Ovis aries: one gene and its partner. The protein of the gene in region 1 interacts with the protein of each later gene in a pairwise test. Links are inferred from orthologs where the notes say so. Each region holds a gene or a part of one and is shown in the gene's direction. Other genes may lie near its edges.

What was found.
Region 2: the proteins of EFS (region 1) and TRAPPC6A interact in binary tests that used the Homo sapiens proteins (3 or more experiments, as listed by UniProt). The two-hybrid records come from large-scale screens. The link is inferred for Ovis aries from reciprocal best matches to the Homo sapiens genes EFS and TRAPPC6A.

The regions. Positions count from the first base shown.
Region 1 is NC_056060.1:21,375,946-21,379,591, forward strand, and holds part of EFS (embryonal Fyn-associated substrate), read left to right. Parts: coding exon 1-242; intron 243-496; coding exon 497-637; intron 638-754; coding exon 755-1,477; intron 1,478-1,842; coding exon 1,843-1,932; intron 1,933-3,166; coding exon 3,167-3,601; 3' UTR 3,602-3,646. UniProt on the Homo sapiens protein: Docking protein which plays a central coordinating role for tyrosine-kinase-based signaling related to cell adhesion. May serve as an activator of SRC and a downstream effector. Interacts with the SH3 domain of FYN and with CRK, SRC, and YES.
Region 2 is NC_056067.1:52,607,413-52,611,058, reverse strand, and holds the end of TRAPPC6A (trafficking protein particle complex subunit 6A), read left to right. Parts: intron 1-899; coding exon 900-967; intron 968-1,128; coding exon 1,129-1,246; intron 1,247-1,742; coding exon 1,743-1,826; intron 1,827-1,994; coding exon 1,995-2,088; intron 2,089-2,899; coding exon 2,900-2,931; 3' UTR 2,932-3,198; downstream 3,199-3,646. UniProt on the Homo sapiens protein: May play a role in vesicular transport during the biogenesis of melanosomes.

The DNA.
Region 1 (3,646 bases):
AGTCCCCGCAGGAGCTGTCCTTCCGCCGAGGGGACGTTCTGCGGGTGCTGCAGAGGGAAGGCGCTGGTGGGCTGGATGGCTGGTGCCTCTGCTCCCTGCATGGCCAGCAGGGCATCGTGCCTGCCAACAGAGTGAAGCTCCTTCCCGCTGGCCCAGCACCCAAGCCTGGCCTCTCCCAGGTGCCCCCAACCCAGCCAGGCTCACCACATCCGGCCCCGGAGCATGGCAGTGAGGACCAGGAGGTAAGCACTGGAGCCCCCCAACCCTGATTCTGGACAACCTATTCCTCTCTGCTGCTTCAGGAGGGACAGAAAGAGCCCTGAGACCCCCAGCCCTGCACTGACCCTGCTGTTCAAATCCTGTCTGCCAAGTCTTTCTGGGCTCTTTCTCCACTGGCACAGGGAGGGGGTTGGAAGGTGTCTAAGCTCCTCCCAGGCGCACACTATGATTCCCTGCTCCCCACTCTACCTGACCCTCCTGCCTGTCGATCCCCCAGTTGTACGTGGTGCCACCCCCAGCTCGACTCTGTCCTACCTCGAGACCTCCAACTGGACCCTGCCCACCCTCCCCTGACCCCATCTACAAGGTCCCCAGAGGCGGTGGGACCCAACTGGCTGCCCCTGGAGCTGCCTTGGAGGTGAGGGCTAGGGGTTCATGTGTCTGTTGGACAGGGGACAGATGGCTCTCGGAGATGGCTTAGGGGAGTGGGGGGCCCACTGCCGAGCCTGAAAGTAACTAACTTCTCCCTCTGCAGGTCTACGACGTACCCCCCACTGCCCTCCGAGTTCCCTCCAATGGCCCCTATGACTCCCCGGCCTCCTTTGCCCGCCCTCTGGCTCAGGTTGCCCCCCAGTCCCTTGGAGAGGATGAAGCTCCCTATGACGTGCCTCTGGCCCCAAAGTCACCATCAGACCTGGAGTTAGATCTGGAGTGGGAGGGGGGCCGGGAACCAGGGCCCCCCCTCTATGCTGCCCCCTCCAACCTGAAACGAGCATCAGCCCTGCTCAATCTGTACGAAGCACCAGAGGAACTGCTGGCAGATGGGGAAGGCGGGGGCGCTGACGAGGGCATCTATGACGTCCCCCTGCTGGGGCCGGAGACACCCCCTTCTCCAGAGCCCCTGGGAGCTTCGGCCTCCAGTGACATGGACACCCTGGCCCTCCTTCTGGCCAGAAGCCCCCCAGCCCCACACAGACCCCGGCTGCCCTCAGCCGAGAGTCTGTCCCGTCGCCCCCTGCCTGCCTTGCCTGTGCCGGAGGCCCCCAGCCCTTCCCCGGCTCCTTCTCCTGCTCCAGGCCGGAAGGGCAGCATCCAGGACAGGCCCCTGCCCCCACCCCCACCGCGCCTGCCTGGCTACGGGGGCCCCAAGGTGGAGGGGGATCCGGAGGGCAGGGAGGTGGAGGACCACCCGGCAGGACACCACAACGAGTACGAGGGCATCCCAGTGGCTGAGGAGTACGACTACGTCCACCTGAAGGTGAGCTTGCCTCAGTCAGCACCCACAGAATGCCTCCAGGAGAATGGGGGTCAAGACCTGAGGTCCCAGAGGCAGACCCTGGCTTCCTCCATTCCCTTCTTCCCCTCCGCTGACCCTGCACCCTGTAGCCTGTGACCCCTGTACTGGGCCACATCATTTGTATCAGTGCCGCAACCCAACCTGGGGTCCCCAAGCTCTCTGACCTGCCACTAGGGCTCTCCCAGACCCAGAGTCAGGAGGCTGTGGATCCGATGGGAGGAGAGACCTTCAGGAGGAAGTGGGAGTGGGGAGGAGTGGGAAGACCACGGGGGCTGCCTTGCCCTGCTCCCCTACCCCTGCACTGAGGCCCTTATCCCCTACCGCAGGGCATGGATAAAGTTCAGGAAGCCAGGCCTCCAGATAAGGCCTCCCCAGGGGATCCTGAACAGCTGGAGAGGGGGCCGCCAGAGCAGCAGGTAACCCGGTGCGGTTGGTGCTAGAGAAGGGGGCAGGGGAGGAGGAGCAGGAACCTGGAAGAAGGGGTATTCTTAACTGAGGCATCGAGGGAAGTCTATTTAGGAGAGGGTAAGAGTTCAATGAAACAGGACAGTTGGGGTGGAGAGGAGTTAGAATCCAGAAAGGAGCTGGAACTTCGAAAAGGATATCAGGAATTCAGAAAGAGAGGAAAGAATGTGTTGGAGAGGAGTCAGAAAACCGAGCATTCGGGGGGGGACAGAGTTTCTGGGCCGGGTGACTTCTGAGGCTCCTTCCAACTGTGAATTCCTGGGTTCCTAAGAGACCTGGGTCTTAATTCCAGCTCCACCACTAAGAAGCCAGGGCCTCCGAAGCCACCAGTTAATCTCTCTGGGTCTCAAGGAAATGAGACTGTCTCCTCGACTCATGGTCTAGAATGGTCCTAATCGCCATAGCTACCATCTGTCACGTTTGTACCAAGCGCCAGAACCTGTGCTAAGTACATTGCACCTGTCAGCACTGATCATAGCAATAGTTAGCACTCATACGGTGCTTACAGTTTGCAGTGCTGTGTTCTCAGCTCTTTTTGTGAAGATCAGCTAATCTTCACTGCAGCCTTAGGAGGCAGAAACAAGAACTGCAGGATCCAGTGTGGTAACCACACGCCACATGCAGCTACTCATCCCCAAGTGTGACCAGTCCGAACTGAAATGCACTGTAAATATAAAATGCACACCAGATTTTGCAGACTTAGTATGGAAAGCAATTTCAATAATTTTTACATTAATTACAGTGTTGAAACTACACCATTTTTAATATATGGAATTACAAAATAGGTACCAATTTCTTTGTAACTTTTCTAACGTGGCTACTTGGAAATTTGAAATAGCATATGTGGTTGGCATTATGTTTACATTGGACAGTGCAGTACTAGGCTCCCCGTAGATAAAGAAGATAAAGGAAGATAAAGAAGATAAAGGAGATAAAGGAATGATGACGTTCAGAGACTTGTTTCTGAGGTTGTTTGAATCCAGATTTATCAAACATCAATTCTGGGCATCTTCCTGTCACTCGCTAAGAGAATCTAAGTTGTCTGATAGGAGAAGGTACAGTTTAAAGGGGTCGAGCTCAGGGAGAAAGGAAGGCATGAGGAACAAAGGGAGGGAAGGAGAAAGGAAATAAGAACGGAAGTGGCACTGGCCAAGCAGTCCTGCTGAACCCTCTTCTCGCCCTTAGGAGGCCCTGTCCCCTGGGGAGCCACTGGTTCTGCCCACTGGAGATCTACAGCTCCTGCACTTCTACGCTGGGCAGTGCCGGGGCCACTACTCAACACTGCAGGCGGCCGTGGCGGCCCTGATGTCCAGCACCCAGGCAAAGCAGCCCCCGCGCCTCTTTGTGCCCCACGGCAAGCGGGTGCTGGTGGCCGCCCACCGCCTGGTGTTCGTTGGGGATACCCTGGGCCGCCTGGCAGCCTCTGCCCCTCTGCGAGCACAGGTTGGGGCCGCGGGCACAGCACTGGGCCAGGCATTGCGGGCCACCGTGCTGGCCATCAAGGGGGCCGCCCTGGGCTACCCATCCAGCCCTGCAGCCCAAGAGATGGCGCAGTGTGTGGCAGACCTGGCAGGGAGGGCCCTGCAATTCACCACTCTGCTCACCAGCCTGGCCCCCTGAGCCCCTTGTCTCTGCTCTGCCCTCACCTGCCTCCCAGAGCCGCCT
Region 2 (3,646 bases), on another chromosome or scaffold:
AGGTGCCTCTGGGAGGTCTGACCTAACCCCTCTGTGCCCCGGTCTCCAGATGTGAAACACAACCTACCTTATGGGGCTGTTAAACAAGGGGTCTGCACAAGGCAGCTGGCACAGCGTAGGCCCAGGTCCCGATTCCTCACTCGGCTCATTCAGCATGTTCCTCACACGCCCCCCGGTGTGTGCCTGGCCCCCCTGACTCCGTCTTGGCATTTCTGCTGCTCAGCGCTCTCCGGGTCACACAGATGGGCCACATACACAGGTCGGCTCTCCTCCAGCCACGCTCCAGGACACCTGGACAGACACCAAGTGCGGCCTCCTGCCGCTCAGTCCCCACGCCTCAGCACCCCCACCGCGGGACCCTGGCCTGGCCCGGCCCCCCGGAAGGCCACTTGGCCACCCCTGCCTCCCCTGAGCCCCTGCGGGTCCCTCCCAGGAGTCTCGGCTCATATTTAAGGCCTCATAATCACAGTTGACGTTTCATCCGCCTGCTGGCCCATCCGGGGGCCCACCCCTGTGGCCCCTCCACTGCAGCCCCCTTGCTCGCCATATGAGCCCCAGGGCAAGTCACCTTGAGTTTCTGGGGTGACGGGAGTGCTACCCCACAGGGCGTTTAAGGACGGACGCTGAAAGTACACTCAGGAAGTGATGGGAGTTGCAAGGAAAGACAACAGGTGAGGCTGAGCCTAGGCAGGACCCCCGTGTTTCCCGGAGTGAGGGCGAGCGGAGCCTGAGGGCCGGTGCGGTCTGTGGATCCAGCCTGCCACTCAGGAAGCCCTCTATCCTGGGTCTTGTCTCCCTGCACCAGCAGGGACACACAAGCCCCCCTCAGCTGCTATACCGGCTGGCTCCCGGCTGGAGGTGGCCGAGGGCCCCTGAGCCTCCCTTCCTTGGCCTTCTAGGGACAGAAGACCAGCTTGTTGGTCCTGGAGGGCATGGGCTTCCGTGTGGGCCAGGCCCTGGGCGAGAGGTGAGAGGCGGGCAGGACCTGCAGTGGGCTCCCTTCCTGGGCAAATGGGTGGGGAGGGTGCCTCGATCCAGACAGGATCCCAAGCCAGTCTCCTCCCTGTTCCTCACCCCGGGGCTCCCCCAGCCTGGCCCCCACAGTGTCTGCTGCTGCTCCCCCCCCAGGCTGCCCCGGGAAACGCTAGCCTTCAGGGAAGAGCTGGACATCCTCAAGTTCCTGTGCAAAGACCTGTGGGTGGCCGTGTTCCACAAGCAGATGGATAGCCTCCGCACCAACCACCAGGTGTGTGCCCCCCGGGCAGACAGCGGGCAGAGGCCGGAGCCCCGGGAACCCAGGGAGGGGACCCAGGCTCAGGGCAGTCACAGCAGGCTCAGCTCCCCTCGGGGCCTCCCCACAAGGCCCCCCAGGACAGGCCCCTCGCGGCTTGCGGCTGTGCCTCGGCCTGACGCGGCTTGTCTGCACCCGAGCCTCGTTCCCATTAGGCACCCACGCTGGGCCTGGCTGGTGGCCTGATGGCCTGGGCTGTATCTTCTCCCCACCGGGCACCCTGGAAATCGTGCAGCAGGGGCGTGGAGGGGAGGACACCAGGCCCTGGTCGGAGGGTCCACGGGTCCTCATATAGCCTCGAAGGACGGCCCAAGACCGACCACAGCCATTTTGTGGGAAGGGTCCTTCCGGACCTCAGGGTGGCGGTGCTGGGCCCTTGCCTCCCCTCCCTGCCCCCACCAGGAAGGTACAGGTGCCACATCGGCTCCCTGGGACCCTCCTCTGTCCCCAGGGGACCTACGTCCTGCAGGACAACAGCTTTCCCCTCCTCGTCCGGATGGCCTCGGGTCTACAGTACCTGGAGGAAGCACCCAAGGTACCGGGCGTGATTCCAGCCTGGGGCAGAGGCCTCTTCCCAAGCCCAGGACCCTGGGAGAGGGAGGCGGACCCATTCCACCCCGCTGTGAACGCTCAAGCCCACGTGGCCCCGGGGTGTTGGCCTCCCCCTGCTCTGCCCACGGTGACCTGTGTGCCCCGCCCCTAGTTCCTGGCCTTCACCTGCGGCCTCCTGCGTGGCACCCTCAGCACCCTGGGAGTCAAGAGCCTGGTCACCGCCTCCGTGGCAGCCCTGCCCGCCTGTGAGTTGGGGTGGGGGGGATCCCCCCTGCTCCCAGGGGCCGTGGAGGTGGGGCCGGGCCGCCCAGCCCCACTGCAGATGGGAATCTATGGCCCAGAGAGCTGAAGTCCCAGGCCCAGGCCACACAGGAGGTGCAGCCCATCCACGGCCCTGCCCCCGATGTCCTCCTAGACTGCTTCCCTGGGCGTGCCAGCCTGGCGGGGACAGCCGACGACAAGGACCTGGGCTAGTGTTTTCCAACACTCTTCCCAGTGCAAGAACCCAGGTGGACACAATAGGAGTCACCTGGGGATGGTGGGGTGGGCGGTGCTGGGCTGAGGAGCTCCAAAGGCAGCCAGTGTGAGGGGGTGTCCTCCTGACCCCGGGGCCCTGCTGGCCCACAGTGCCCGCCAAAGGACAAGCCGAGGCCCCACCCTTCCCTGGGGGCTGCCTGCGACCAGCCCTCCACGCACCCTTCCCTCGGGCGTCTTCCCCTCTGCCAGTCCCCAGGGCCACACATCATAGGGGACTGGGGCCCAAGCCGGCAGGATCTGAGCCACATGTGCCACTGAAACTGGGCCAGGTCCCTCCCCGACAACCTACGTGCCTGACCTGCTGCCTGCCCTTCGTGCCCCCAGCCACCCACACAGCCCTGGGGCACAGGCCAGGGGTGGGGCTAGGGCACCATCATCTCAGGCCAGCGAGGCAATGAGGTCCAACCAGGGCCACCCAGGCTGAGGGCACTGGGCCCGGGTGAACGGCTCAGAGCAGCTGGGGTGCCACCTCTCCCCTCCGGCCCCAGCCTCGAGCTCAGGCCAGCCCTTCTCTTCCAGGTAAATTCCAGGTGGTGATCCAGAAACCTTGAGGAGCCCCAGGTCCCACTCCCAGACGAGCTTCACAGCACCCTGGCCCAGAGAACCCCGCTGCTGCCTGTGCTGGGGGCTGGTGCTGGGGAGACGGGGTCCCCGCACTGCAGGGTGTCACAGATGCCCAAGAGATGGGTGTCAGAGGGAGGTGGGGGTGTCCCGGGGGCCAGGTGGTCCCCAAGGCATTCAGGGCCGGTGTGGAGGGGGTCTGCACCACACATGTCCCTCCACAGGGCAGGCGCTCAATAAAGGTTCTGTAAGTGGAACCAGACTCAGAGTGGAAAGCGGGGCGGTGGCGGGGGGGAGGTGCTGGGGGCAGGGGCAAAGCGACTGTGTGTCACGGGCCCAGTGTGGAGGTACCCCGTGGGGCTTCCTCCCCGCCGAGTCCCTTCCTCCCCGCCGAGTCCCTGTGGCTGGCCGCCTCCCGCCCCACATACCTGGCAGGGGAGGATGGCCCCCAGCACAGGCAGCCTTGCCAGCATGGACAAGTCTGGGGCTGCTCTCTGCTCAGCGGGGTCCAAAGAACGGACCTCTCCCTGGGAGCAAGGCCATTGGCCCCTGGAGTTGCTGCCAGGTGTGGGCTGGCCTGGGGGGGCCGCCAGGAACAAGGATAGGTGAGTGGGTGGGCCAGACACCCTCCACTCCCCTAACACACACACACACTCTATCGAATACACGCTTAACGTGCCTGGCGGATACGAGTCATACCCAGAA